Tamandua tetradactyla: one gene and its partners. The protein of the gene in region 1 interacts with the protein of each later gene in a pairwise test. Links are inferred from orthologs where the notes say so. Each region holds a gene or a part of one and is shown on either strand. Other genes may lie near its edges.

What was found.
Region 2: the proteins of KRTAP26-1 (region 1) and GDPD5 interact in a two-hybrid assay, tested with the Homo sapiens proteins (2 studies listed by BioGRID and IntAct). The two-hybrid records come from large-scale screens. The link is inferred for Tamandua tetradactyla from reciprocal best matches to the Homo sapiens genes KRTAP26-1 and GDPD5.
Region 3: the proteins of KRTAP26-1 (region 1) and CCNJL interact in binary tests that used the Homo sapiens proteins (3 or more experiments, as listed by UniProt). The two-hybrid records come from large-scale screens. The link is inferred for Tamandua tetradactyla from reciprocal best matches to the Homo sapiens genes KRTAP26-1 and CCNJL.
Region 4: the proteins of KRTAP26-1 (region 1) and GRN interact in binary tests that used the Homo sapiens proteins (3 or more experiments, as listed by UniProt). The two-hybrid records come from large-scale screens. The link is inferred for Tamandua tetradactyla from reciprocal best matches to the Homo sapiens genes KRTAP26-1 and GRN.

The regions. Positions count from the first base shown.
Region 1 is NC_135336.1:89,679,292-89,684,873, forward strand, and holds KRTAP26-1 (keratin-associated protein 26-1), read right to left. Parts: upstream 1,367-5,582; coding exon 716-1,366; downstream 1-715. UniProt on the Homo sapiens protein: In the hair cortex, hair keratin intermediate filaments are embedded in an interfilamentous matrix, consisting of hair keratin-associated proteins (KRTAP), which are essential for the formation of a rigid and resistant hair shaft through their extensive disulfide bond cross-linking with abundant cysteine residues of hair keratins.
Region 2 is NC_135334.1:70,096,229-70,104,454, reverse strand, and holds the start of GDPD5 (glycerophosphodiester phosphodiesterase domain-containing protein 5), read right to left. Parts: upstream 3,229-8,226; 5' UTR 2,696-3,228; coding exon 2,561-2,695; intron 1-2,560. UniProt on the Homo sapiens protein: Glycerophosphodiester phosphodiesterase that promotes neurite formation and drives spinal motor neuron differentiation.
Region 3 is NC_135346.1:41,538,387-41,546,033, forward strand, and holds the start of CCNJL (cyclin-J-like protein), read right to left. Parts: upstream 3,336-7,647; 5' UTR 3,234-3,335; coding exon 3,168-3,233; intron 1-3,167.
Region 4 is NC_135332.1:23,122,348-23,130,785, reverse strand, and holds the start of GRN (progranulin), read left to right. Parts: upstream 1-5,081; 5' UTR 5,082-5,194; intron 5,195-5,353; 5' UTR 5,354-5,435; intron 5,436-7,479; exon of another isoform or gene 7,480-7,741; intron 7,742-7,815; 5' UTR 7,816-7,818; coding exon 7,819-7,956; intron 7,957-8,070; coding exon 8,071-8,205; intron 8,206-8,311; coding exon 8,312-8,396; intron 8,397-8,438. UniProt on the Homo sapiens protein: Secreted protein that acts as a key regulator of lysosomal function and as a growth factor involved in inflammation, wound healing and cell proliferation. Regulates protein trafficking to lysosomes, and also the activity of lysosomal enzymes.

The DNA of each region.
Region 1 (5,582 bases):
GAAGCCAGAGAGAGCAGAGGGATAAAGACAATGAAAGAAACCAGACCACATGCTAAGGGGTTTAGATTTTTATACTATGGAAATAGATAAGCCATCAAAGGTTTAATAAGGGGCAAGACATGGTTCAGTTTTGCAGCTAGAAGGAACATTCTGCTAGAAGTATGTTCACTGTAAGAGAAAGGGGTAAGGAAGATCATTCCTAATTTTGCCCTTTCATAATAACTTCCAACAGCAGGTATGTACATTTCTTAAGAATATCTAGGATCACAGGTCTAGAGAGCAGCTTGTGGAATAAGCCACCAAGCTATACCCCTTCTTCCAAGTATGAACATATGGTTTGAATATCATCTCTCCTATGCATTCAGATTGCAAGCAGGTGAGATTGGTAATTTCTTTGTCAGATAAAGCAACAAAGACACATTGATGAACCAGATTCTTAATTCTGACTGAATCTACTTTATTACAATATAAGGCAAATAAACTCTTCTCACACATGAGTGGCAATGAAGAGCTTGTAAACCAATTATTTGAGGTCATGAAGAAATGAAAACAATTAAAAATCTGAAAGAAGCAACTGGTATTATATAGGACACAGTAAAACCAAGAAAAAGCAGTTTCTACTAGGAAAGAAGCAAAAAGTCCATGAAGTATGAATGTTTGTTCTGGTTCCTCAGCAGGATTATTGTCTGGAACAAGGAAGTTACCGTTCCAGCGCTCAGTAGGATGGACAACAAGTGCTGACCACATGAGTCAAAGGTTGACAACCATGGGAGAGAAGATGCAGAGGTCTGAGGCTGCTGGACACAACACTAAGTGGTGGAGGACCACTGGTCAAACAACCTAAGGGTCGGCATCCATAGGTGAGGAGGCTCAGGGGACGGCAGCTGCTAGATAAACAATTTAAAGGTCTATAGCCACTGGGAGCACAGCTTACGGGCTGGAAGCTGTAGAGAAGAGGTTTGAGTGGATGACAGCTGCTGGGTACGTAGTTCAGAGGTCTAAAGGTTACCGGAAGGCAGGAACTGGGGTTGTGGGAAGATGTAGGAAGAAAGCTGGTTCGTTGGCAGGATCTGGGCACATGGTATGCAGTGGAAGAGCAGCAAGAAGTTCCACGGTTATTGGTAACACAGATGCCTGGCTGGCAACTGGTTGGTTCTCCGTAGGTTTCTTTGGTTGGTTCACTACATGTCTCTTGGAAGTTGTCCAGGAGCCAGATACTGCCTTGACAGCTACTGGGTAAGCAGAGGACATCTCCAGATCTCACATTAGTAGAACAGTGGGCAGTGGAGGAGGTAATAGGAATGTGGCAAGAATTTCTGAATGATCCCATGTTGTAGTTTCTAGAGCAGTAGTTGTGGCAAGCCATCGTGAGGTATGAAGAGCAGGCTGTGGTTCAATGGAAAGAAGTGCCTGAGTTTGATTATACCTCTCTTAGGCTTGATCCTTTATATATAGCTAGAAGGTGGTGGTTCTGTATACAGACTCCCTTCTTCCTTGTTGTATGAGGCTGCATCAGAACTCTTTATTATAGCACAGGAAGTAGAGACCACATAAAACTAGATGTCCTTTTTAATGCCTTCTGTCAATGAAATGTGGATATAAACCCATGTGGCTGGATATTAATAGAATGTCTCCTTAAATTATCCAAACAAAACAGACACTTTAGAAGCCCATGCATTTTTTTCCAGTTATAACCACCATTGCACAAACATTCTTAAATTCCTCTCTTGGAATTGTCTTTAACTCTTGTAGCAAACTTCTCTGAATCTGTGGCAAATTGTTCACTCTTAGGAGAAATTTTATACTTTTCTGAAATTGTCCAAAGTAAGGAGCATGGAAGCAAGTAAGTTGAAAAAGAAAGTGGTTAATTCTATAACCCATATGGCTTGGGGTAGAAAGAGTATAAAACTTGTATAATATGGAAAAACTCTATGTGCCAAATTTGTGCTTTGTTTTATTTGAGAACACTAGTAGAAGGTGGCTTCCCACACACATTTTTATCACAAAATGTTCTCATTTATTCACTTCAATAAATAAATTGAGTTAAGATGGAAGCTTGGTTTTTGTTTGAGATATTCTTTAATATAGATGATAGTAGTTGGGCTTAGTTAAAATTATGGATTCTACTATGAACAAAAGCAAATAAACAGACTGCTTAAAGAAAATTGGATGACATGCCATTTTTCATGACTATGAAAGGCCTTATTTATTTCATGGTATACTCATATTCTAACTGGAAATTATCGTTCTTGGTCAAAATAAGATATAATGGCGGGCCGCGGTGGCTCAGCGGGCAAAGTGCTTGCCTGCTATGCCGGAGGACCTCGGTTCGATTCCCGGCCCCAGCCCATGTAACAAAAACGGAGAAACAGAATACAATAAAACAAGAAAATGTTTAAAAGATGTTTCCCTTTCTTCCTTCCTTCCTTCCTTCTATCCTTCCTTCCTTCTCTCTGTCTTTCCTTTAAAAAAAAAAAAAAAAATAAGATATAATGATTAAGACATAGATTCTGTTTTATTCCTTACATTAGTTGTGAAATTCATTTCAAAAGAGGTGCTCACGGCTGGCTGAGTCTTGTGAAATCCTGAATGCATCAACTGAATGGCATTGGTAGTGGGTAAAGCCATCTTAACTGAATGTTTATGAAAACTGTGTGTTGATGCTTTATGTCTGCTATTCTATATTATAAGTAAGTACCTAGCATCTGTATCATTAGTCCACCCACATATGGGGATCTGTATGCATATGCAGTGTATATGTAGTATATATGTTAATGTTTCTCCATCCAATAAATGGGTGTCGAAAAAGAGGCAAGGTAACTAGCATTTGCTGAGTCCTACTATGTGATAGACCATTGTGGTGTAATGTCACTTTATCCTCATAATTCTGAACAGTATTTTTACTATTCCAAGTGTTTATATGAGAAAACGTGAATTTAGAAAGTATGGCAATTGATATTAAGAAAAATATCTGAAAATAATGCTCCTTGAGCCCCCAAACAATTTTCCTCCCTCTTTCCAAAATAGTATTATGCAAAGTGCACTAATATGATCATCTACTATCTGTGAGGTCCTGGACAATTTTCATAATTCTTCTGAACCCTAGTCACTACCAATATCATTTGTATGGAAATGAATATATTAACATCAATTTTCAAATTACATTTAGAGGATTAGATATAATGAAATAGTTAAAAAGTTAATGTGACCATCAGACACTACAAAAGAATATTTTGTTTGTTATTGCTATCTTGCTTTGACATCCGTCTGCCATTCTGAAGACAACTGCCCTTGGGTTCAATTGCTTTAGAGTACTACCATGAGGCTATTTAATTTTTTTCTGGTATTGAGAGGTAATCCTATAAAAATATCTATAGATTTTTAGAAAATATGGTGTCCCAAAAGTAAACTACACCTTAAGGTAACATATATTGAACTGGTGTTATTTAAGAGTAGCTGTGCCACTAAAATGAAAGGGCTTATTTGGGCATCACATTAGAAGCCTTATCAGGAGAAGCCTTAAAAGGCTTCTATAAACTACAGTTTGGGGGCTCTTTTTCTGATGCAAGGACCCAGGTATACTATGAGGAATTGGGTATCCTGTGTTGCTCCCCCATTTATACCTACACTGTTAGTTTTTCTTCAAGGAGCCAAGGATTTTTACTTCTCTTACTCTAGAGGTAGAATTTCAAATTTTTCTCTCTTATAGGTAAAGAAGACTCAGAGAATTGCAACAATAAGGATATGATAATAAATGACAGGCATCTCATACATTCATTCACCAAATGTTTATTGAGTATCAAATATGTGCAAAACATTATGATAGATTCTGAGATGATAACAGGATACAATTGGCTTCTGCTCTTGAGACACACCTAATCCTGTAGGTGTGGTAAAACAAATACACAATGCATGACTGTATACCACTTTCTATTAGTGAGATTCAGAGAAGAGCAGACATAATAAACTGGCTTTATCTAAAATTCAGCATTTGAAATTAATTTTGAAAAATGGGAAGAAATGACCAGTGGTTTGGGGAAGGGAAGGACACATCAGGCTATGGTCAAGTTTTAAAGACAGAAAAAATGAAAGCCCAGTGATTTCAATTGAGGGTTATTGGGCAGGAGTTGTAGTAACTAAATTTGTATTCATATGCTGAAAGATTTAATCATCTGAAAAGTTATTGACATTTTGTTCTGCAGGCATGTTTATTCTAAAATGGATTTTAAGAAGAGAATGCTGAGATTAAGCAATATTTTGTGACATTCAGCCTTACTCCAAAATACAGCACAGATCGAAATGAGGAAGTACCTATTTTAATGTTTCTTTCCCTCAATGCTACATAAAATTAATTTTGTTTTTTCATCCATTTTCCTCCCTTTCACTGCCATCACTCAAGTTCAGAGATTTGCATCTTTGTTAAATACATAGATTTCTTGTTGGCATCATTGGCTCCTATACCTATTGCCTTATATTTATCCTGAACATTGGATTTAGATTATTACCCCCTCAAATAAATTTCATCAGATGACTCTTATACAGAAAAATGTTGTTGACTTTCATTTAGCCAAAGAGAATTTGCCCAAACACTTGGTGGTCCTTCCTTTGCTTCCCAGTAGAGACCCTTTTCTGCCTTTTGACTTGTTGGCCCATGCGATTAATTACTCCACATTACCCTTGTTTCACATTATCTGTTCACTTGTCATTGGCTTCTCACTTGGAAAAATCATTCTTTAGTATTTTCCATTATTCAACCCCAGTTAAATTGCCCTATTCTTTACAAATTCCTTCCAGACCATTCCTACCAATTTTTCTCCAGCCTTTAAATATTTATAGTTAGATTTGCCTAATACGCATACACACACACACACACACACACACACACACACACACACACACCCCTTGGCTTGCAAGGAAAACCTTTTGTTTTCTATATATGTCTTATTTTTCCCAACTATATTATGGGCTCTTATTAGCCACTATTTACTGCATCCTTATTATACCCTAGACACTATTCTAAATGTTTTAGATATTGCTTTAGTTATCTAAGCTAGTGAAAGCAGATGTCATAAAATGGATTGACTTTTAACAATGGAAATTAGCTTGTGGTTTTGAGGCTGATAAAAATGTCCAAATCAAAGCATTATCAAGGTGATGCTCTCTTCCCAAAGATCAGCTGCCTTTGATCCTTTGGTCCAGTGTCACATGTCAAGGCACATGGCAGCATCTACTAGTCTCTCCCTTCTCTTATAGGTTTCATTGTCTTCACCTTCTTGCTTCTGTGGCTTTCTTCTTTCTTTCTGTATTCATTCTGTTTATATAAAGGACCCCAGCAATAGGATTAAGACCCATCCTGAATGAGGTAGGACACATCTTAACTGAAGCAGCCTCATCAAGAGATCCTACTTACAATGGGTACATAACCACAGGAATGGATTAACTTTAAAAACATGTTGTCCTGTGGTACGTACAGTTTCAAACCACCACGAATGTATTAACTTACGTCTCCTTATTACATTTCTAAACAAAGTAAGTATTATCATTGTTCCCAGCATATATTGGGAAATCTGGCAAATACTTAA
Region 2 (8,226 bases), on another chromosome or scaffold:
CCATCCTTTCTGCAGCTCTGCAAAATGGGCGTTATATTCCCACTTTATTGCTCAGAGCGGTAAAGTGAATTGCCCAAAGTCACACAGGGCAAAATGGTGGAGCCAGAATTTAAACCCTGGTCTGTGGGCCTCCAATGTCCCCTGCTGTCTCAGAGACACAAAGAGGTCACACTGTGAGACACAGGAAAGGCCAGCATGGGCGTCTCGGAATTTCGGTCAGAGAAGTCTTCAAAGGCCATCTCGCCTCATCCACCAAAGGTCCAGTTAACAAATGGAGAGACTGGAAGAGGAATGGCCTTGAAACATGGACGCACGATTAGTGCATATTAAATTAGTGCAGAAATGATGGGGAATTCAACAGATGGTGTTGGAAAATCCAGCCATCCATTTGGAACAAATGAAGTTAGACCCTTACCTCACACTCCATCCCAAGCTGATTTCCAGCTTCTGCCCTCCCCATCCTCACCACCACGCTCTCAGTCATTGCATACGCATGTGCTGAGCCCTGCTCTGGGCCAGCCCTGCTGGGCCCTGGATACTGGGAGATAAACCAGGCCTGGACTCCATGCGGAGCAGCCTCCAGAGACAAATGACCAGCAAGCAGGCAATGCCAATCCTGGGAATGAGTGTGGTGAGGAAGGAAAGCACAGACTGCTTAGAAGCACAGAGGCCAGATCCTTAACAAGGCCAGTTATCAGGGAGGGATGGCCTGGAGGACTTCCTAGAGGAGACACCAGCAATGAGGCTGGAATATGACAAGGTTGTGGCACCACAATCCAGGAGGAGTGAGGGAGTGTCAGGTTCATAGGCACAGAGAAAGGCAGCTTTTGTTTTGGGGAACTGGCTTCTCATGGGATTAGAGAATCTCTCTCTATGTCAATAGAGAATTTTCATCTCTATTGTCTATTTTTTTGCTTAATTTATCATTTTTAATTTTTTAATGATGCTTTTGCATTAAAGGTTTAAATTTTTATGTAGTCAAATCTATCCCCCTTCCTTTATACTTTTTACATTTGGTATTGCACTTAAGAAAGAAATAGTTCACTCATATTTTAGACTGGTATTTTCTTGGCTTCACTGCTTACGTTTAATCTGTAATCCATCCATCTATCTGTAGCTCCACGTGGATGTCCATGTGCATGGGGAGAGGTCTGAAAGTCTTGTCTCTAAAGCATTAAGACCAGAATTTCTTTGACCTTACACCTTTTCAAATTGTTTGAGTTTTCTCAATAAATGTGTGCTATCTTTCTAAACAGAAAAAAAAAATCATTTAATCCATCTGGAATTTATCTGGGTTTGAGGGAAGAGGTAGGGATCTAATTTTACTTTCACAGAAATGGATAGTCAGCTGTCCTCCCTGATATTTGCAGCACTATCCACACGTTTACCACACACTATAATCATATGTATGAAAGTGGATTTGCTTTCTGGTTTTCCTGTCCATCTTATGGCAGCCCTTTCCCCTGGGTGCTGGCTCTGCCTGGCGCAGTTCCTTCACACCTCACTGAGCCCTGCTCTCCGGATCACCGCGGTGGTCCTGCCTGTGCTTTGAGGTCCCACAGCTCGGCTGTGCCATCAGCCCCACACTGGGAAAAAGTGATTGAGGGGGGCCTACCCGCCGAGCCTGCCCATCTGCAGGCCAGACCGGGGGTTCCCCAACCTCTCAATAGTCAGCAGCCTGCTCTTCCCTCACCCAGTTCCAAATGGGGAGATTGGTACACAGGAATAGCTTAGGAAGGGTCCATGGGAAGGGTGCTGGGAGCTCCAGGAGAGGAGGGGCACGTAGGTCCTGGATGGATTACCTTGGCTCTGACCCCAGGAGATTTGGGGGAGGGGGCAGTGTGGGACAGTTTGAGATGTAGGGTAGCATTAGGGTTGAGCAGGGAAAGGGATTAGAATCCCCACCCCCACCCAGCTCCTGAGCAGCCTAAGAGGCTGGATTTATTTTTCTGGGCTGCAGAGAGCTGGGCAATTAAGGCTCCGTCTGCCCTTGCTGGGGTACACTTAGAGCCATTCATTAGGCAGAAAAATGAAATGAGGCCCGGCCTGGAGCAACCCCTCCCCACCCCCATCCCTCAGGCTCCATCAGCCCATGGGAGAGACTCAGAGTGGAAGAGCTGGGGGGCCCTTAGAAAGCACTACCCAGAGCCCCTCACAGGCATGACAAGGTCACAGGGTAGGGGGGACCCAGTCCCTCTGCTGGTGCCCCCCACACCTGCTCCATCTGTGCTCCCAGATGAGATGCTAAAGGTGTTCATGGCGCTTCATAATAAGGGCTTAGCCGCCTCCCCTGGAGCTGCTACAGCCAAGCCAGGTACCCTGAGTGCTGTTTCATAGGGAGCGAGGCTGAGCACAGGGGACCCTCAGCCACAGACACCGTGTTTATGTTGTCTCGATAATTCCTCAGCTCCCTGCACAATAACAAACTGGCCCCTAGCCAGCCCTTTCTCTCTATCAGGGACGTAATGTCATCTCCCATTTTTTTATTCTCATAGAAGCCCCAGAAGAAGGTATTATCGCCGCCATTTTAGAAGTGGGAAAACTGAAGCTCATCTCTGACCTGCTGGATCACTTTTCCCCAGAGTACCAAAGAAGAAGACGTCACCACTTTGAAAGTTTGTAGGGAGGGCACGTTTTTCCCAGGATTGGAACAATGGTCCTTCTTGTACAAAACACAAAGCACACTGGTATCCATTACCTAACTGGACCCTCAGGCCAGGCATGGACTGATATCTCCATCTAACTCCCAAGCAAGCTTTGGCCCAGAGAGGGTCAGGGATGTGCCTGGGGTCATACATCAAGTCAGTGGTAGAGGAAGGTGAGCTCAGGCCACATGTGCCCCAGCCAGGAATGCCTGGCTGAATCCTCTATACCCTGGAGTCCACCCTGAAGGCTGCTCTGTCCAGGAAGCCCACCCTGATTCCTTAGTGATTTCTCTGGGCCTAAAGCATGGGAGACGCGGGAGTTGAGTTTCTCTTGGCCTCAGCCTCACCTAGAGAACAGAAGCATCACAGATGACTCCCAGGGAGACGCCTGGCCCTGGCACTGTGAGATCAACAATTCCATCTTGACCAAAAGGGGGAAAAGAAGTGTAACCAATAAAATATCAGTGGCTGGGAGAGTTCAAATAGAGTTGAGAGGCTACTCTGGAGGTTGCTCTTATGCAAGCTTCAGTTAGAGCTTGCTACCTATCATAACCTGCCAACCCCCAACCAGGACCATTCCAGCCAATCCTAAAGAACACCGAGGGCAATATATAAGATTCCACAAGGGTTCCATGCACTGGGGTAAGTTTCCAGAAACCTACAACCTCCAGATGGGTGTCTGGACCAGATAAGTCCTGAAACCTAGAGGGCCCAGCCTCTCCAGAACATCAGCTAGTTCCATCTTCCTATCCCATATTACTGACAGCCTCTTCCAATATGAAAAAGTTAGAATGACCATAGCCTAAATACCCCTAAAGAGTGGGATAGCAAGATCAAAGGTGATGGCAGAGTTAGACAGAGAAGATAGGGCTTAACAAACGAACATGATTGCTGAATCATTAAATTGATATTTCAATCCTGCTCAAACTCTTCAAAAAAATTGAAGAGGTGGAAAAACTACCTAACTGATTCTATGAAGCCCATGTCACCCTCATAGCAAAGCCAGACAAAGATATTAAAAGAAAAGAAAACTATAGGCCAATCTCTCTAATGAATATAGATGCAAAAATCCTCAACAAAATTCTTGCAAATCGAATCCAGCAGCACATTAAAAAAATTATGCACCATGACCAATAGGATTCATCACAGGTATGCAAGGATGGTTCAACATAAGAAAATCAATTAATGGAATATACCATATCAACAAATCAAAGCAGAAAAACCACATGATCATCTCGATTGATGCAGAAAAGGCATTTGATAAAATTCAACATCTTTTATTGTTGAAAACACTTCAAAGGATAGGAATAGAAGGGAACTTCCTCAACATAATAAAGGGAATATATGAAAAGTCCACAGCTAACATCATCCTCAATGGGGAAAAACTAAAAACTTTCTCCCTAAGATCAGGAACAAGACAAGGATGTCCACTATCACCACTGTTATTTAGCATTGTGTTGGAAGTTCTAGCCAGTGCAATTAGACAAGAAAAAGAAATAAAAGGCATCAAAATTGGAAAAGAAGAAGTAAAACTCTCACTGTTTGCAGATGATATGATACTATATGTCGAAAACCCAAAAAAATCCACAGCAAAACTACTAGAGCTAATAAATGAGTACAGCAAAGTGGCAGGTTACAAGATGAACACTCAAAAATCTGTAGTGTTTCTATACACTAGTAATGAACAATCTGAGGAGGAAATCAAGAAAAAAATTTCATTTATAATTGCAACCAAAAGAATAAAATATTTAGGAATAAATTTAACTAAAGATACAAAAGACCTGTACAAAGAAAACTACAATAAATTGTCAAAAGAAATCACAGAAGACTTAAATAGATGGAAGGGCATACTGTGTTTATGGATTGGAAGACTAAAAATAATTAAGATGTCAATTCTACCTAAATTGATTTACAGATTCAATGCAATACCAATTAATATCCCCAAAACTTACTTTTCAGAAATAGAAAAACCAATAACCAATTTATCTGGAGGGGTAGGGTGCCCAAAATAGCTAAAAATATCCTGATAAAGAAAAATGAAGTTGGAGGTCTCACACTACCTGACTTTAAGGCATATTATGAAGCTACAGTGGTCAAACCAACATGGGACCGGCATAAAGATAGATATATCGACCAATGGAATCGAATAGAGTGTTCAGATATAGACCCTCTCATCTATGGACATTTGTTCTTTGATAAGGCAGTCAAGCCAACTCACCTGGGACAGAACAGTCTCTTCAATAAATGGTGCCTAGAGAACTGGATATCCACATGCAAAAGAATGAAAGAGGATCCATATCTCACACTCTGTACAAAACTTGACTCAAAATGGATCAAAGACCTAAACATTAGATCTAAGACCATAAAAATTTTAAAAGAAAATGCAGGGAAATATCTTACCAATCTTGTAATAGGAGGCGGTTTCCTACACTTTACACTCAAAGCACAAGCATTGAAGAAAGAAAATAATAAATGGGAACTCCTCAAAATTAAACACTTTTGTGCATCAAAGAACTTCATCAAGAAAGTAAAAAGACAGCCTACATAATGGGAGACAGTATTTGGAAATGATATATCAGATAAAGGTCTAATACCCAGAAATCTAAAGAGATTGCTAAACTCAACAACAAAAAGAGAACCCAATTACAAAATGGGCAAAAGTCTTGAATAGACACTTCTCAGAAGAGGAAATACAAATGGCTAAAAGGCACATGAAAAGATGCTCAACTTCCCTGGCTATTAGGGAAATGCAAATCAAAGCACAATGAAATATCATCTCACACCCACCAGAATGGACATTATCAATAAAACAGAAAACGGCAAGTGCTGGAGAGGATGTGGAGAAAGAGGTACACTTATCCACTGTAGGTGGGAATGCCAAATGGTGCAACCGCTGTGGAAGGCAGTTTGGTGGGTCCTCAGGAAGCTAAACTGATATTTCATTTAGTCTTCAGTATCTTAGAGCAGCTAGAAGTAAAAGACAAAACTGTGGAATTGCAATCCATACTAAACTCTGAAATCTATACTACAACTCGATCTGTTGCGCTGTGCTTTGAAATTTATTGCTTTTTTGTATATATGTTATTTTTCACAAAGAAGAAAAGAAAAGACAATTGTGATGATAAAAAAATATTGATTCTTTCTAGCCTCCTATATTCTGGAGCAGCTAGAAGGAAAAATCTGAGATGATGGTATGGTAGCCTGTGACAAACTCTGGGATCTGTCCTGTAACTACTTATCGAAGAGTGCTTTGAAAACTATCGCTTTTTTCTTTCTTTGCTTTGTACATATGTTATATTATAAAGTTCAAAAAGAACAGAGGCCTCAGTATGAGACCAAAGGAAGAGATGTTTATTTGGTGCAAATTTTATATTTTTGGTAGCACAATATCTAACTGAACTTGTACGGTCAGTTTATTCAAACACCTTAATTACATGGAATACTGAATAAGGAGTGAGATCTTGTTGGTTTGTACAGGTCAGTGTGATGTCTGTATACATCCCAGAGTAATCTGGACAGAGGACACAAAAATATTTGCAGGGCCCCCTGGGGGGACCGGGGAGAAAGGAGGAAATATTAAACTTCCAGATCTGGGGAATTCCTGATATTCTCGTGAGGGCAGTGGGGACAACCAACTCAGAAGGCTGAGCCTTTGATCCTGGGGTTCGCCCCTGTGAAACCTATTCCTGCAGAGGGGAAGCTAAGCTTATTTATAATTAGGCCTAAGGGTTACCCCAGAGAACCTCTTTTGTTGCTCAGATGTGGCCTCTCTCTCTAAGACAACTCAGCAGGTGAACTCACTGCCCTCCCCCTACAGGAAACATGACTCTCAGGGGTGTAAATCTCCCTGGCAACATGGGACATGATTTCTGGAGATGAGCCAGGACCAAGCTTCATGGGATTGAGAAAGCCTTGATCAAAAGGGGAAAGAGAGAAATGAGACAAAACAAAATTTCAGTGGCTGAGAGATTTTGAACAGAGTCAAGAGGTTATCCTGGAGATTATTCTTATGCATTATATAGATATCCCCTTTTTAGTTCATGGTGTCCTGGAGTGGCTGAAGGGAAGTACCTGAAACTGTTGAGCTGTGTTCCAGTTGCCTTGATTCTTGAAGATGATTGTATAACAATATAGCTTTTATAGTGTGACTGTGTGGTTGTGAAAACATTGTAGCTGACGTTTTCTTTGCCCAGGGTATGGATAGTTGAGTGAAAAAATAAAAATGAAAATGAAAATAATAGTAACAAAAACAATGGGTGGGGGGGATAAGGGGTAAAAAAAAAATGGGTAGATTGAACTATTAGTGGTCAATGAGAGGGAAGGGTAAGGGGTAAGGGATGTATGAGTTTTTCTGTTTTCTTTTTATTTCTTTTCCTGGAGTGATGCACATGGTCAAAAAATGATCATCCGGATGAGTACACAATATGTGATGATATTGTAAGCCACTGATTGTATACTTTGGATGGACTATATGCCGTGTGACAATATCTCAATAAAAATATTAAAAAAAAAAAAAAACACAAACATCTCTAAATATCAAAATGAAAAAAAAAGCACAGAGGTCCCAGCAGGCTACTCCCAGGTCTGAGGGGGCCTTGCTGGGGTGTTGGTGGGCGGGGGGAGGACTGGGAGGGCTTTGGACTCAGTGCCCAATCCTCACCCAGGTCCCCTTTTTTCCCTCCTCCCTCCCAGGGCTGTGCGACTCTAGAGGGGATTAGCAAGAGGACATGAGTAGGGAACCTGAGGTCCAGAACCAGGCCCAGCCCATGCCTGTGGGCATGGGGGTCTCACTGACAGCACCTCGGGTTCTGGATTCCCAGTCTTGACTCGCCTAGAAAATTCACGTCAGCACGTGGAGGGCTGCTGGCGCGCCTGCCTCTGGGCCGAGAGCTGCGAACGACCCGCAGCAGCGAGAATTGTGCCGGTAAAGCCCCCTCTATGGGCTAGGCATTCACACAGGCCATCTCGTTTGATTCTCATTTGATTCTTCACACCTTCAAGGGGGTGATAACGCTCCCCATCCCTCAGGAAGGGAAACCGAGGCGCAGGGACAGAGGGATCTCTTTCATTGATTTCATAAACGTTTGCCACACATGCTCTGCTTTCAGGCTCTGCGCCTGGCTCCAGGAACCAGTGCTCTGCCATGCCACTCCAGGGGACAGGTACTGTGATGGGTGGAGGAGGGAAAGGGAGGGCAGGGACACCTTTAACCAAGAAACATGCTGAAGGGTTACGCGATGCAGGCAGGAGAGCTGGGATGAGTCTACATCTACGTGCTCTCTCCATTGCCCTAGGGAGGACCAGAGGAGAGTCAGCCCTGAAGGGAGAGTCAGGAGGTCTGGCTCTAAGGCTGTTGCTGGCCACTGTGGTACCTGGAGCCACTCACTGGGAGGGCAGAGGGCAGTGGGTCCTATGGGCCTCAGTTTCCTCAACCGTACCACAGAGATGCTTAGCGTGCCTGAGCTACATATTTGGGGGAGTGCTTTCTACCGTGCATGCAGAAGAAGTCCTTATTTGGAACTGTTCTTCTCATCCTCCAGGACAGACCCCCTCCTCTTAGGACTGCCAGACATTCTTGACA
Region 3 (7,647 bases), on another chromosome or scaffold:
GGTCTTGCTCCAAGGTCCTAAGCCTCAGCTGGAAATTTGGGCAAACTGCTGGCTCTCTCGGCCTCAACCCCATCACCCCTCCCATGGGATAACAATGCTTTTCTTGTAAGGTTGAGCTATTGTATTTGTGAACCCTTTGAAGGGTGGTCACACACCCCAGGCCTTGACCTGAGCACACACCGCATGCACGGACTGCTACTTTCAAGTTCAGCAGTCCTACAAGGGAGAAAACAACCCTCTCGCGTACTACCATGTGTCCCGCACAGTTCTCATAGTCTCTCCCTTAATCCGAATATTCATATAAAACATCTCCTCCCGGTTTACACAAGAGGAAGCTACCAAAGACTGATTTCTTCTTTCTTCTCCCTAATCCACACCTACCAGGGAAGCTCTGTTCTAGACAGCGAGACCTCAGTACTGAATAAGACAAACAGCTCTATTCTCATGGAACATACATTCTAGTGTGGGAGAAAGATTATAAATGAACCAAAAATAATTTCAGACACTGGTAAATGCTATAAAGCAAACAAAGCAGGGTGATTTAATAGTGACAACCACGGAGGGGCAATCATGCAAGAAACTGTGAAACGTAGATTTCAAATAGAGGGACCAGCCAATGCAAAGGCCGAGATACAAAGGGACTTGATGTGTTCAGGAACAGAAAGGAAGTTAGCGTGGTTTGAGAATAATGAGGGTCGCAGGAGGGGACAGGAGTCAAGGTCCGAGAGCAGGCAAGGGTCAGACTATATGGGGTATTCCACACAGAGCTAAGGAGTAGGATATTATTCTAAGCGCAAGAGGGTTTTAAGCAGGGAAGTGACAATCTAATTTCAGGCTGTTGTGGGAAGAATGGACAAGGGAGGCCAGCTTCAGAGGTCAAGGTCCTACCACCACCACTAGTTTGCAAACGGCACCCAGACTTGTTCTTTCTGCTGAGTCACATTTTATATATTGTAGTAGGATGCTTACTGGAATCTCAAATTTGACAAAATGGGGCTCTCATGATCTCTACAACATTAGCCAAACCTCAACTTCTCAGGCCCTCCCCTTCTGCACCAGTCAAATGAGGGTAACTGCTCAGGAGTCTATAATGACAATTAAATGAGAACACGTATATACACATACTTTGTGTTCTTCTGGCAACCGTCGATGAAGAGTGAGGGTCTGCTGTGTGCCAGGCACTCATAAAGTTGTCCTACAGTGTTAGGAATTTATGATTAGAGTAAACGTTTGATTAAAATTTACCCTGTTTGACAAAAACTAAGGGCCAGCCCTCATTCCTCATGGAAGGTGAGGGTAGAATGAACACTGGGTTCCTAGTCTTCAATCTTCACTGCTCCCTGCAAACTGTCCATGAGGCCAAATATTCTTGAGAAGCATCTTCTCTGAAGAGGGAGGGAACATAAAGGTAAGGAAAAAAAAAGAATGAACACTTTACTGGGGAGGTATGACATTGAGCCAAAGGATGTTGGGATTTGCCCTACTCAAAGAGCTTCAAGTCAAGAGCCCATCACCCCAGAGTCAGTTTTCTATCTACCTGTAAAACCAGGAAATACCTATCTTCCCTCAGAGGAGACACCCAACAGTCAACTAATGAGGCACGGGGAAAGCACAATTAATGGGAAGGTTTCTTCCCTGCTCCTTTGAGAGTGTGGAGGAGAGTTGAAAGTTCCTTGCCTATATGTAAAAGGTTGGGGATTCTCAACGAAAGTGGTTGAGTTTATACAGCTCTTGGAAATCCATCCCACTAGAAAGGGGCAAATCAGGCCAGTCATTCCTCCCAAGCTCTAAGCAGACATGACAACTGCTAGCACCTAAGATAAACAAGGAAGCCCAATTTCTAGTTTCCATGACAGCCCTCACTAACTCCTTTCAGCTACCACCCCCCGAAAAGGACCAAGACATGCCAGGTCTATCACACTGCCAGGCTATCACCCCCACAACCCCACTGTCCCCAATCTTTAACAGAACAACCAAGACCTGGGTTTCTGTTACAGATACCTAGAATGAGTGTGTTGCACCTGGGCCATTCTGCTTTGGGAGAAGAACAAAGGAAGCAGAGAGAAGCCACAGCCTGGATAGGCACCACTAGACAGGATAAGAGAAAAAAAGCACTGATTTGGTTGGAAGACAGTCAGTCTCTAATGAAGGAAAAATCTCTGAGTACCTGGTTGCTTTTTCAACAGAGCACCCATAAACAACTGGTACAAATGGGCTCGATGTGGGACCTGTGTAGGGACCGAGGCACGCCCATCCCCTACTTCACATCTGGTCCCCAAACCACCCTTCCCAGCCTCAGCCCAGGGGCAGGAAGGGCAATGCACAGGCGTGGCTTCCAACCCACCTGGACTTTTCCATATTGCCAATGCCCACCAGCACTTCTGTTTCCCAGGGGAGGGGGATGCAGGGATCACATTTCAGCTACCCCCACCTTCTGCCACAGGAGGCAAACTGGCAGGGGAATTTTTGTTTTCTCCATTCAGTCTCCCAATTTTGTAGCCTCTCTTTCAATTAGGCTGGTGTTTCTTAAACTACAATTATTCAGTCTCAACTTATATATATATATATTTAACACAATTGTATTCCCTGTGCTACTATTTACGTAATATTTCTTTATAATGAGTCATTAATTTTACTTACATTTATTTTAAAGGGAAACACTGTGGCATTAGGGTAAACGGAAAATCTGCATCACTATCCCACGCAGAACTTGCTAGATATATATACTCTAATTGTACATTAAAATACATAACTGTTTTGATTTTTTTTGGGGGGGGATGTGCATGGTCCGAGAATCGAATCTGGGTCTCCCGCACGGTGATCGTTTTTTTTAAAGTCCATTCATGTACCGTTTAAAATAATCTCGGGGGACAATACAATGGGAATTCCTGCCTTAGCGGTGCAGTGGCTTTCTCCCTTTAGCTGTCCGGGAGCTCTGGGCGCCTAAACAGAAAAACCAACTCCAAGCTCTCTGATCTCCAGTTTCTCCCCCAGGTTGGCAGCGTCCACACTGTCTCCTAGGTACTTCGAGAGAAGGCAAGGGCAGGAGAAAAGAAAGGCGCGCAGTTCCCAGTTCCCATGCGAGGCGACGTGAGGGCACAGAGTCGAGGGTGAAAGGAACTGTAAATACCCAGTCTAGTGAAAGACATGGGCGGGGAGGGACTGACCTTCTCGCGCAGGGTGCAGTGGACATCCGAGGCGACGCGTCCTTCCCACCACGGCTCATCCATCATCGCGGACGCAGCGCCGCGGTCCGGGGCTACCGGGATCTCAGGGTGCACCCTGCATAGACACCAGCAACTTCAGTGGCCCGAGCGCGACCCCCGGCTCCGACCCCCAGCATCCCCATCCTCGCTCGCCGGGTACCGGGGACCCGGACGGGCGCCCCCTCCTGCCTGGCTCGGAGGAGCTGGCGGTCGCCTCCCGTCCCGGGAAGGCTGAGGTGCCCCCTCCCTCTGCTCGCTGGACCCGAGGCGATCTGGACTTTTGCAACAACTTGCAGAATTTTGATTTTTCCCTTTTGCAAAAGTTGCAGGGAAAGTTGCCGACTCTGCCAGCTCGCCCTAGGCTAGGGCTCCTCCCCCGCCGCCTAGCCTTTGTCCTGCTCCCACATCCTGCCCTCGAGCGGGGGTCGAAACTCACACATCCCTCTCCCGGCGTGGGGGGCTGCGGGCGCCAGGGCCCTCCCAGGACTGAGCCGGCTGTGCTCCCGGGCGCCTGCACGCGGCTGGGCCCCCGACCCGGGCGCTCCACACTCTAGCTGCCGCCTCCGCAGCCCGGCTGGCCCCGGCAGACGCCGCGCCCCGGCGTGCGCTCGACTCCCGCCGCGGCTCGCAGCCTCCCGGCCGCCCGGGGCCTCCCTCCCGCGCTGGGGGAATTGGGGGCCGGGCTTCGCGCATGCGTCGCCGGTGCCCCGCGCCCCGAGGGGCGGGGGGCTGGGAATTAGAGTGTGTCTTTCGCCAGCGCTGGCTCGGCTTCCTGCCCGCCTCCCACCCTCGCCTGGGTGGAAAGCTTCCTCGCACCTTCACCCAGACGCCCGGTGGCCTCCTGGACAGCCCCACGCCGGGCTTCGCAAGGCGTCACCTGCGCGCACCACGCGAGAAACGCGCGAGCAGGTCCACCCAGAAAGTTCTGCCCCCGCGTGCAGCGCCCTAGCCAACCTTCCGTCGGCTTCACCTGTTTTTCTCTAACCGTTTTTTTAAGGAAAACACCCTGTCCCAAGAAAGGGAGATAGATTAACAAACGGACCATTCTCAAGAAAGTCCCAGAAAAGTCACTTTTGATTATCCACGAGTCCGTAATTCTAAGGGATGCCCACTACTAGTTAACTGGTATTTATTGTGCTCCTGTTCCACGCTAAAACTGGAGGAAGCCCACTTCTTTTTGGAGAATCCGGCGGATGGAAAGCATTGTCTTTTTTATTCAGTTTATTGATTTCGAAAAGGGACTCTCTTCTGGAGCCGATTTGATGGCACAGCATGGTCGGTCCTCTTGGCTGACTTGAGTGTGTGTGTGTGTGTGTGTGTGTGTGTGTGTGTGTGTGTGTGTGTGTGTGTGTGTGTGTTTGATACTTTTGGAAATTCACAGACTTGGGACCAAATCCAACTTTTCCCACCTACCAGTTGGGGAATTTTGACAAGTTCCTCAAATCTGAGCCTAGAATTGTTCATTTATAAAATGGGAATAAGAATTGCACCAACTTACTGGAGGTATTGTACTTTTGAGATAAATAGGTTTAAAGGGATTATCGTCATGCCAGGTTATGTAATGAGCACTCAGTGAAACAGCTGTTCACGAAAGAGTTTTTAGTTCTGACGCTTTCCTGCAAGGAAAGACCCAGCGGGGGGGCGGTGGGGATATTATATATTATATATATGTATATATATCAGCTGTGATGAAGTTCACCTGGAGCTTGAAAACAAGTCAGTGTAAAAAGGCATGGACGTTTGTAAAGTGTAACCTAGAAATGAACTTAATAAATTAGTACAGGCTCTAAATGAAGAAATTATCAAGTTTGAAATATAATAGACTTGAAGACCTGAAGAAATAGAAGAGGATAAACATACCAACTTTACCCAATTTATTCTATTTAATAAAATTCTAATGCTAAATGGAGGAAGGGACAGTTGACAATTTTTCTAACATTCATATGGAGAATAACTGTGAGAAGCTAAAAAATTTATATTTTAAAAATGTGATAGACCTATATTACCAAATCTTAAAACATTGCAAAGCTATGATAGTTAATACACTGTGGTGTTGACACAAGAATGATGGACAAGTATCAGTGGGATAGTTGAAAGTCTAGAAACATACACACATATTTAAAAATTGACCATATGATAAAGATGGCATTTCATTTTGGTGGGGAAAAGGATAAATCCTTCACTAAATTAGGCTGAGAAATTAGTTAATTTGGGGGGAAAACAGCAAAACTAGGGTTTATTTACAATCACAAAATAAATGTAAGAACCCAAAGAGCTACAAAATTGATCAGAAGAGAATTAGAAGAAAACTTAGGTGACTTATTTCAGAGGGAAAGGCCCAAGTACTAAGGCATTGGAGAAACCAAAGGCAAAGATTGGTAGATACATTTTAATAAGTATGTGAGATTCTGATATATCAAAAATCATCACCAAAATAGGCAGAAATGACAAATTGAAGAAAGCATTTACAACAAATATGACAAAAGATTGGTCTTACTATATAGACCTCTTGTAAGTCAATAAATAAAACACTAACACCCTAAATGCAGAAATGGATAGAGGACAAGAACAGGCATGGTGTGATAGAAGAAATTCAAATGTATAAATACAATTTTTAAAATGCTCACACTCATTAATAAAAACATTAAAAGTTTAAAAAACAGTGAAATGCATCTTTGTCAAAGATTCTTAAAAATATAGTATACAGGTAGGGTTGACAAATATACAGCGTCGTTTGGGCATATAAATTAATGTCATCTTTCTGAAAGGCAGTATGAATCCTAAAGTTTAAAACGTATCATGTGATCCAACTTTTCCATCTCTGGAAATTTATTCTATAAAATTAAGCAGATGAGCACAGGAATTTATTTATAGGGGGTTTCATCACAATGCTTCCTTAATTAGAGAGAACTATTAGAACAGGAAGCTGGTTAAATAACTATTTAGCACTTTAAAAAACTTTTTTAAAGAGTGTTTAATGACTTGGGAAAATACTTATGATATATTAAGTGAAAAAAGAGATTAAAGTATTATGCCGGTTATACTCACATTAATTCACACACATACGTACATAGGAAGGAAACTGAAAAATGTACATGAAAATATTAATTATATTATGGGAAATTTTCATTTTTTTAATTCTAGTATGTCTGTATTTTCTATAAAAAACATGCATTACTTTCATCTTGATGATGTCACTCCTCATGCATTATTTTCACAACCAGAAAATAAAAGGAGAGAATGTTATTTTAAAATAATCACATAATGTACTTAATAGGTGTGGTTTTCCATTGAACAACTCACAATGTTGTTGTATGCAGAGAACACTGGAAAAAGGAAGAGCTGCATTATTCTCTCATTTGGACTCCCCTTTACCTAAACTTCAGCTTTCAGTTATCAGGAGAAAGGGAAGCAGAAACTTTGGGCTTTCCTCCAGGGGCTACTTTAAGAGCATTCTAAACACATGCACACCTGCACTCCTCTGTATTTTATTCTCAGGAATCTGTTATTTTCGCAGGAGCTCTGAAGAGTAAGAATCTATTTCACCAATAAATTGATGGTTTTGGTCGTGAGTTTGTTTACAGGTAGAAATGGTGTCTGTGCCCTTAGGAGAGGGTGGCTCCTGGTGCTGGAGATCAGGGAACACTGCAACTAAAGTTACTGTTCCCACCCACTCCATCTTCAAGGAGCCAAGGAGCCAGCCAGCCTGCCTTCCTGCCTTCCTTCCTCCCTCCCTTCCTTCTTCCTTCTTTCCATTTTCCTTTCCACCCTCTTTATCAAGTACTTGCTATGAGCCAATTAACCCTTCTCCCTACTCTCACAACCTCTGAGGCACCCAGTTGGGAAACACAGACTCAGACCAAGCACGTCCTACTACCTGCAACTGTCCCTGAGAAAAACGAGGAAAAGAAATTCTCTGCCCTGTCTAATCTTCCTGAGTACAAATTGGCCAACTCTCTCCACCATCATATTATTTTATTGAGTTCTCACTTTGCACCCAACTTTCCTTGCTCTCTTTATCCCTTCATATGCCATAGACTCTCCCATTTCTGCACATATGCCCACGTTCTCAGGCCTCCTTCTCCCTACACTGTCTCTAGGCAGAGAGGTGATCTGCGCATTTACCACTATAGACAGTCATGCCTTTTTTTTTCTTTTACAGAAATGGTAGCATACTAGGCCCACTTTTCCACACCTTGTTTATTTGCAGTTGGGAGATTCTGCAGTTTGTTTAAGGTCAGGACAAACAGGGCTGGCTCACAATATACCGTAGTCCTGTGGTGTGGATCCATCATGATACATTAAAAGAATATTTAGGTGGTTTCCAGCCCTTTGCTGCCTAACCATGCTGCAGTGAATATCTTGCAGTTGTATCAGTGACATAAATTCCTTGATCTCTCAGCTTTCCAGGGGAAGTAAAGGTGTCTACTTAGAGTAGTTT
Region 4 (8,438 bases), on another chromosome or scaffold:
TTCTACTCATCTGTTAACAAGGTAGATAAAAGGAGCATCAGACACAAGGTTTCACAATCACACAGTCACATTGTGAAAGTTATATCATTATACAATCATCTTCAAGAAACATGGCTACTGGAACACAACTCTACATTTCCAGGCAGTTCCCTCCAGCCTCTCCACTACATCTTGAATAACAAGGTAATATCTACTTAATGTGTAAGAATAACCTCCAGGATAACCTCTCCACTCTGTTTGGAATCTCTCAGCCATTGACACTTTGTCTCATTTCACTCTTCCCCCTTTTGGTCCAGAAGATTTTCTCAATCCCTTGATGCTGAGTCTCAGCTCAATCTAGGGTTTTTCTCAATCCCTTGATGCTGAGTCTCAGCTCATTCTAGGATTTCTGTCCCACGTTGCCAGGAAGGTCCACACCCCTGGGAGTCATGTCCCATGTAGACAGGGGGAGGGTGGTGAGTTTGCTTGTTATGTTGGCTGGAGAGAGAGGCCACATCTGAGCAACAAAAGAGGCTCTCTTGGGGGTGACTCTTAGGCCTAAATTTTAAGTAGACTTGACCTGTCCTTTGTGGGGTTAAGTTTCATATGAACAAACCGCAAGGCTGGGGGCTCAGCCTATAGCTTTGGTTGTCCACACTGCTTGTGAGAATATCAAGAATTCAACCTGGGGAAGTTGAATCTCTCCCCGTTCCCACCATTCCCCGAAGGGGATCTGGAGGTTATTCTCACATGTTAAATAGATATCACCTTGCTAGTCAAGATGTAGTGGAGAGGCTGGAGGGAACTGCCTGAAAATGTAGCGCTGTGTTCCAGTAGTCATGTTTCTTGAAGATGTTTGTATAATGATATAGCTTTCACAATGTGACTGTGTGATTGTGAAAACCTTGTGTCTGATGCTCCTTTTATCTACCTTATCAACAGACGAGTAAAACATACGGAATAAAAATAAATAATAGGGGGAACAAACGTTAAAATAAATTTAGTAGATTGAAATGCTAGTGATCAATGAAAGGGAGAGGTAAGGGGTATGGGATGTATGAATTTTTTTCTGTTTTCTTTTTATTTCTTTTTCTGAATTGATGCAAATGTTCTAAGAAATGATCACGATGATGAATATCCAACTGTGTGATGATATTGTGAATTACTGATTATATATGTAGAATAGAATGATCATAAAATATTTGTGTTTGGGCGGGCCATGGTGGCTCATCAGGCAGACTTCTCACCTGCCACACCAGAGACCTGGGTTCGATTTCCGGTGCCTGCCCATGCCAAAAAAAAAAAAAAAGAAAAAAGAATATTTGCATTTGTTTGTTGTACATTTTTTAAAAATTTAAAAATTAATTTAAAAAAAAGCTGAAAAAAAAATCCCCATAAAGCAAGAGACATGGGGACCAGGCTCCACGACTGTCCGTCCATCTCTGACACCCAAAGAGACCAGTGGAGGGTCAGGGGCACGCTGCCCACCTTGGGGTCAGGCTGAAGGCCAGGGCATCAGGGAAGGAGGTGAGGTGACAGCCAGCATGGGCAATGGGGGAGAACCTGTCTGTGGGGACTTCGAGCAGTGAGTTATTTCCATGTAAGCAAACCTGGAGGGGAAGGTATCAAACCACCAGGCTGGACAGGGGCGAGGCTATGCTGGGAAAATGAAAGGAGTCCCCAAAACAACAAGGGCTGGTTGGTGCAAGGGAATCAGAAAGGAAGGACTCAGGAAGGGGCACACTGGGACGGGAGCTTTGGCATTAAATCCCTTCGTGACCCTGGAAATTTGCCTCTTCAGTCTTCCTGGTCACAAAATAATATCCCATTTCTAGAAGCAAAAGGCACCTCACCTGGACCTGTGAACTGGTAGATGTAATTGTTTTAGCCAAACTTCCGTCTCCCTAGTTTTAACCTTTCCCTTCAATTCCTGAGTAAGGTGATAACTCTCTGGAGGTGTTTGCAATTAAATAGGAATGTATTGAATTATAACAGTAAAACATCTGGAATGGTTTTCCCTGAGTCTTTACATTTGGACATTTAATTTAGGGTCAACTTTTCCTGATCTTTGACCACCTCTGGCTTCCTTTCAGGCTGGCTCTCTGAAGCCCTGAGAGCACTCAGGGTATATATGTGTTTCGGGGGGTGGGGGGGCAAGAGGTATGATTATTGTATTAGTTGGGGTTCTCTGGAGAAACAGAATCAACAGGGAATACTCGCAAATATAAAATTTATAAAAGTGTCTCACGTGACCGCGAGAATGCAGAGTCCAAAATCCACAGGGCAGGCTGTGAAGCTGACGATTCCAGTGGAGGGTCTGGACGAACTCCACAGGAGAGGCTCACCAACTGGAGGAGGAAGAGAGCCTGTCTCTTCTGAATCCTCCTTAAAAGGCTTCAGTGATTAGATTAAGCATCACTCATTGCAGAAGACACTCCCCTTTGGCTGATTACAAATGGAATCAGCTGTGGATGCAGCTGACATGATCATGATTTACTTCTATGAAATGTTCTCATTGCAACAGACAGGCCAGCACTTGCCTGACCAATCATACAGGTACCACCACCTGGCCAAGTTGACACATGAATCTGACCATGACAATTAGAGTAGAGGGGATCCGTTAGAGTCTCATCTTAAACCTCTTTGGTGAATAAACCTCATTCATTCTCGCCCAGATTTCAAAAATGAAGTGGAGGCTTTTGCACTACTTTGCATGCCAAGAGCAGCGTTGTCGGCACTCTGCCTAGCACACAGCAAGCCTTCAGAAATGTCAGCCACTGACACCACCACCACCTGTGTCATTTCACTACCCTTTTTCTCTGTCATTGTTCTTTACTCCCATCATTTGTCTCTACCTCCGGATCCAGTACCCATGCTGGCCGTGGCTTTTTTCTTCTTCACTGTCAAAATGAGGCCTGACTTTATCCTGAGCCTCTCTATAGAGATTAACAATAAATTACAAGAAATTAAAAAAAAAAAGCAAAAGACAGATGAGGTTCTTGAATTCAAGGTTTAAGAACCCCGGAGGTCTTCTGGAAGGAGGTGGTAGAAATTCCACAGTCCTTGGAGGCAACTGCCCTCTCCAGGGAAGGGTTGGTTGTTTTCAGTCATTTGGGCAGGGCTGTTGAGTAATCAGGCTGTTTAGTAAGCAATTACTGTCTAAGTAGAGTAATTGCTTATGATTTAAACTTTCCTGAATGCTCAGTCTCATGCCTCTGACCACTCACTGTTGCCCACAAAAAAGGGATGTGCTGAAGGCCTTTTGGGTTGTGCAGGCTTGCTTTTAAGTTGTTCGATCTGTGGTTTGCAGTTTTCCCTCTAAGGCTTTTAATCCTTGCCAAACACAAAGTGACTGCCCCTAGAAACTTCCACACACACAGCCCCCAATCTATCGATAATTTGCTGTTGCTGAGGAATCAGATAACTACGTTTATTAAAAGCACATGAAACAAGAGATTAGATGCTCTATATGTGGAACACTTTAGGGCTCTTATGGAGAAAGTTTGGGACCCTCCAGAGCAGGGTCTCTCAACCTCAACGCCACTGACATTTTGGACCTGAAGTTCTGTGCTGTGTGGGTGCTTCTGTGCATAGGGAGATGTTTAGCAGGTTCCCTGGCTCCTCCCCACTAATACCAGTAGCATCTCCTTCCCCAATTGTTACAGACAACCCGAAACGACTCCAGACATTGCCCTATGTCTCTGGAGGACAAAATTGCCCCTGGTTGTGAACCATGTCTTTAATTAGACTTTGTGATGCTATTTTCAGTCGTTTTTTTTTAATTTGCCTGTATTTTTGTGGATTTTTTTGGTTCTGTGTAGTTGTGATTAAAGGACTTATATATTAATTTGTCTAACATTTCATAAAGTCATGTGTGTGTGTGTGTGTGTGTTCAGTAAAAGCATAAGCAGGGGGATGGAATAGTCCTAGATTATCAGCAGGAACCTTGTCCACTTTTGGGATCCTTCCTAGTTCCAGGCTAAGAACCGCCACCCAATTCCACAGTGCTGCCCCTCCTTCCCTACCCAGACTCCTATCACTACTGAGTTTGGTTATTTGTCCCTCTACCCCAGCCTCACCTTCGGCTCAAGTCATTTCCTCAGCTTGCCGGCCCTTCACCCACTCTGGGAGACCAGGTCCCAGCACCCTCCCTGGATGGCTCCTCTCTGCTGGCCAGCCTCCCATCACCCACCCGGGCCTTTTGGCGTGGGGCGATTCTGGCTCCTGTGGCCTGTCAATCCACTGTGTGTGGTAAGTTGTCTCCCCTCACCTGCCAGTCAGTTCCTAGACAGGAAGACCAGCTTCCACTAGGTCGGCCCCAGACCCCAGCCCAGCCTGCGCAGGTAGCCAGAAGCGACTCAAGCTCACTTCGCTGCACGTGGCATTCAATCCCTGCCCGTGGCTGCCCTTCCCATCTAGTTTTCTGATACTTTTCCGAACATCCTTTTTCCAGCCGACTCTCCAGCCCCTCAGTACTCCCAGAGCCAGCTTAAGGTGTTCCCTGGTGGGATTAATCCACGCCCCCAAGCCCAGGTACTACTCACCCCCTACACACATCTATAGCATCTGGCACACGACCTTGCCTTAATTTAGTCTGAGCCTGTCTCCCCTTCCCCAGGCTGGGGGCACCTCGGGGAAAGGGACGGGGGCTAGGGGCGTATTATTCTTGTCCTTACAACCCTCCCTCAACCCCCCTTTGGATCTGACGGCCTAGCATTTAATCCAAGTGTGCTGGATGGAACAGGGTGGAACAGAATAGGGTAGAAAGGGGCTGCACACACGTCACATCCTATGAACACCCGGGATCGCGCCCTCTGTCATGTCCCCTGACACCGGCGGCCGCGCGAGGGACAAACTCCGGCGGAGACCGCAAGGCAGGCACAGGCAGCGGGCTGGGGCGTCATGTGATTCTCCAATCACATGATGCCTAAGAATAAGGGTGCGGAGAGAGAGGAAGTGGGAGGGAGGAGAGTGACTTGGGCAGGAAAGATACACAGCATTCCAGTCTGGCCCCGCCTCCACGTCGACAAGTGACCAATGGGAGCGCGGCAGCGGCCCCCTGGCCTATGGGGACGGAGGTGGGCGGGGCAGAGGCGCCGCAAGTCCAAGAGCGGCGGGGCTGAGGCCGCTCAGGCAGCGCCGACTCCGAGGCCGAGTGGGAGGCCGCCCGCGCAGACCCCTCGCTTGCTCCTGCCTGGGGGCCCGGCCGCGGACGGTGAGCTGGAGGCTCCTCTGGAGTCTCAGACGGGAGACAAGAGGAGACTCGCTTATAGAAACTGCTGGGGGGGTTCTCCTGCACTGGAGGGAGTTCTGTAGGCGAGGGAGCGAGCTGTCACTACAGTGACCCGCCCCCTTAGAAGGGTCCCCTCTCCAGGATTCCCGGAAACTGCAGCCCCTTCCCCGAAAGCAGAGACCGACCAGCCCGTTCTTGAGCCAGCTTCACCCCCTGTTAGCAGGTGCCGGCTCCTTCCTCTCCTGGTGGGGGTGGGGGTGGGGGGCGGGGGGCGTTCCCGCGACTTCTTGGAGAGGGGAAGCGCCTGCCGCTCGTCCCGGAGCTCGGAGGGGTTGGGAGGGGGAATTGAAGCTCAGGCCTCCTCGAAGGTGGAAGGGATCTGGAGTGGCGAGAGAGCCCCGAGGTGGTGCCTGGCGCTTCCTTACTTCCTGTCGTGGGGGGAGAATGTGGGAGGCGGGACGAGCTAGCTTCTCTCTCTTCCTGTCACTTTTTCCTGCTCAGTTGCTGCTGGGTTGGCCCACCTTTAGGGAATCTCCCTCAGCCCCGGTACTCGGAGTTGGGGGTGCCTCCTAGTGGAAGATGATGGTACTGGGGGCTGGAAGAAGCTTCTGTCCTCTCTGTTGTGGTAGTGTGGGGTGTGGTGAGAAAGGCTGCCACTCAGAACCTGGTGAAGAGGAACCAGAGGGAAATTGAGCCTCTTGGTCCTGCATGCCTCGCTGTGTGCGTGTGCTTGCGCACGCATGTATGAGTACATTTTCGATAGAAGCATACACCATACTTCCTAACCTCAGGATGCACAGGAAGGAAAATATACATAAATAAGTCATGGAGGCCTAGATGGGTGTGGACAGGCACCCTTGTGGCCTAAACCAAGAGCAGAGCCTGCTGTGTGGTGAGGTTGGACCCACCACCAACACCCACCCAAGAAACAGATGAGTCAGAGGCAGATGCTTAGGTGGTGGAGAGAGAGAAAGGGACAGTGGGCCCAAGATTAGACGTCATCATCCTTTTCGGGCTAGGAGATGACTTCTTGGGAATGTTCTTTGAGTTGAGAGAGGGACACCTGAGGAAAGCCAGGTAAAGGGGAAAGAAGATTTAAGGGACTTGGTGGAATTTCCCAACCTCCTTCCCTTTGCCTCCCACTCAGTGCTGCCACACATAGACCATGGGGACCCTGCCCAGGGACAGGGAGCAACTTTTGAAGCTCTCACAGTTGGTTAGTGGCCAATTCTAGGACCAGGACCCAAATGCAGTTTCCACATTGTACCCCCTGTTTCCACCCTGCCTGGTTCACCTGCCCAGAAAATCTTTTTGTTCCCCTCCCTCTGCTTGGACCCAGGTGCTCTGTCCTTCTGGGGGTTCGTGTCTATTCTGGGGCACTGGCCAGGGTGCCACTTATGAAATAAATCCAGGTCCAGTGTGTTCTGCAGCCATCAAGCCTGTCATCACCATGATTTGTTATATGACATGGGCGTGTTACTTGACATCTCTGAGGCTCCATTTCTGCCTTTGAGAAGTAAAGATAATTACTACTTTGGGTGGTTGTTGCAAAGAAGAAATAAAATGACCAGTGCTGTCACTGGCCACCAAGAGGCTCAACACACCTTCCTGTCTGCTCCTCTAGGCCCAGTAACAAGCCCCAGGCCTGCCCTGTTGAACTCACAGGGCTGCTGAGCTTGGGGGAAGTGCTGTTGGGAAGTGAGAGTCTATACCCCTCAGGGACATGAGGGTCGGTTCCTCCTGCTGCCTCAGATTGGCAGACAGGTGGGCAGGGAGGCCCTGGCAGGGCACATATGCTCTCTCTGTGCTTGTGGCTGAGTTTTGGCCCCGAAGGTTTGGGGAGAGGTAGGGCAGGGGATTGTTATGTCTGGGGAGTCTGATAGGGCGCTGATGGTGTTCGGGGGGGTCCCTCAGAGAACAGAAGTCTCGGAGGTTGACCCAGGCTGTGGGAAGAAGGGGACAGTGGTGGGCAGGCAGTGGCTGGCCTCTGGAGAAGGTAGCTCCGGCCCCACAAGCCACCACACTTCCTTTCTCACAACTTTCCCCACACTGTGGTTTCCCACATCACCCTGTGATGACTCCCACACAGGCACAGCAGGTGTGAGCACAACGGGGGGGGGGGGGGCGAGCGGGCACTGGACGGCATTGGCTGGGGAAGGGGAGGCCTGGCTTTACCTCAGGGAAGGTGGGAGCTCCCTCCCTCCAGCGCTGCTCTCTCCCAGGGTTACTGCACCCCTCCGCCCCCCAGTGGCCCATGTCCCCAGAGATCAGACCGCCAAACCCCACATGCCTTCCTCACTGGCACCTGTGATTGTGATTGCGAACCACCCACAGAGACGCAGGTGTCAGGCCATGGGTCGGGGACACAGTATATGTATATTCATACTGACATGGCCAGGAGATGACTTCTTGGGGATGTTCTTTGAGTTGAAAGAGGGCTCCTCCAGGAGACATGGTGGGAACTGAGTCTCAGGCTCCATATCTTTCTTCCATCCTGGACAGTGAGTTGTTGGGGATGTTCAGGCAGGCCTGTGGGTGAGTGAATCAGTGCTCAGAATCGACAGCGGCATGGGCTTAAATCGGTTGCCAATTTTTGTGAACAGACAATGTGGACCCTGGTGAGCTGGTTGGCCTTGATGGCAGGGCTAGTGGCTGGAACACAGTGCCCTGACGGTAAGCTCTGCCCTGTGGCCTGCTGCCTGGCTGCAGGAGGAGACCGCTACAGCTGCTGCAGTCCCATAGTGGTGAGTGCCCCACACCCAGGCAAAAGCTGGCAGCCTGGATTTTCCCAAAGGGTCGTCCTGGAAAAGGAGGAGGCCAGGCAGTCTTTCAAATTAACCTCTCCCCTTTCTTCCCAGGACGAACAGTCCTCTCTGCTCACGATACAGAGTAAGCCTATGGGCACACCCTGCCAGATTGATGCTCACTGCTCTGGTGGCTCCTCTTGCCTCCTCACTGTCTCAGGGACCTCCAGCTGCTGCCCCTTCCCACAGGTGAGGGTACCATCAGCTCCATCGTTAGATCTGCATTTGTGCTTTTCCTGCACTCTCCCGCCCCAGGCAAAAGGGCCTCTGCAACACAGACTTCTGTGTCCCACAGGCCGTGGCATGCGGGGATGGACACCACTGCTGCCCTCGGGGCTTCCACTGCAGTGCCGATGGGTGGACCTGCTTCCACAGATCAGGTGTGGCGGGGAGGGGAGGCCACGCAGACAGGCAGCACATGG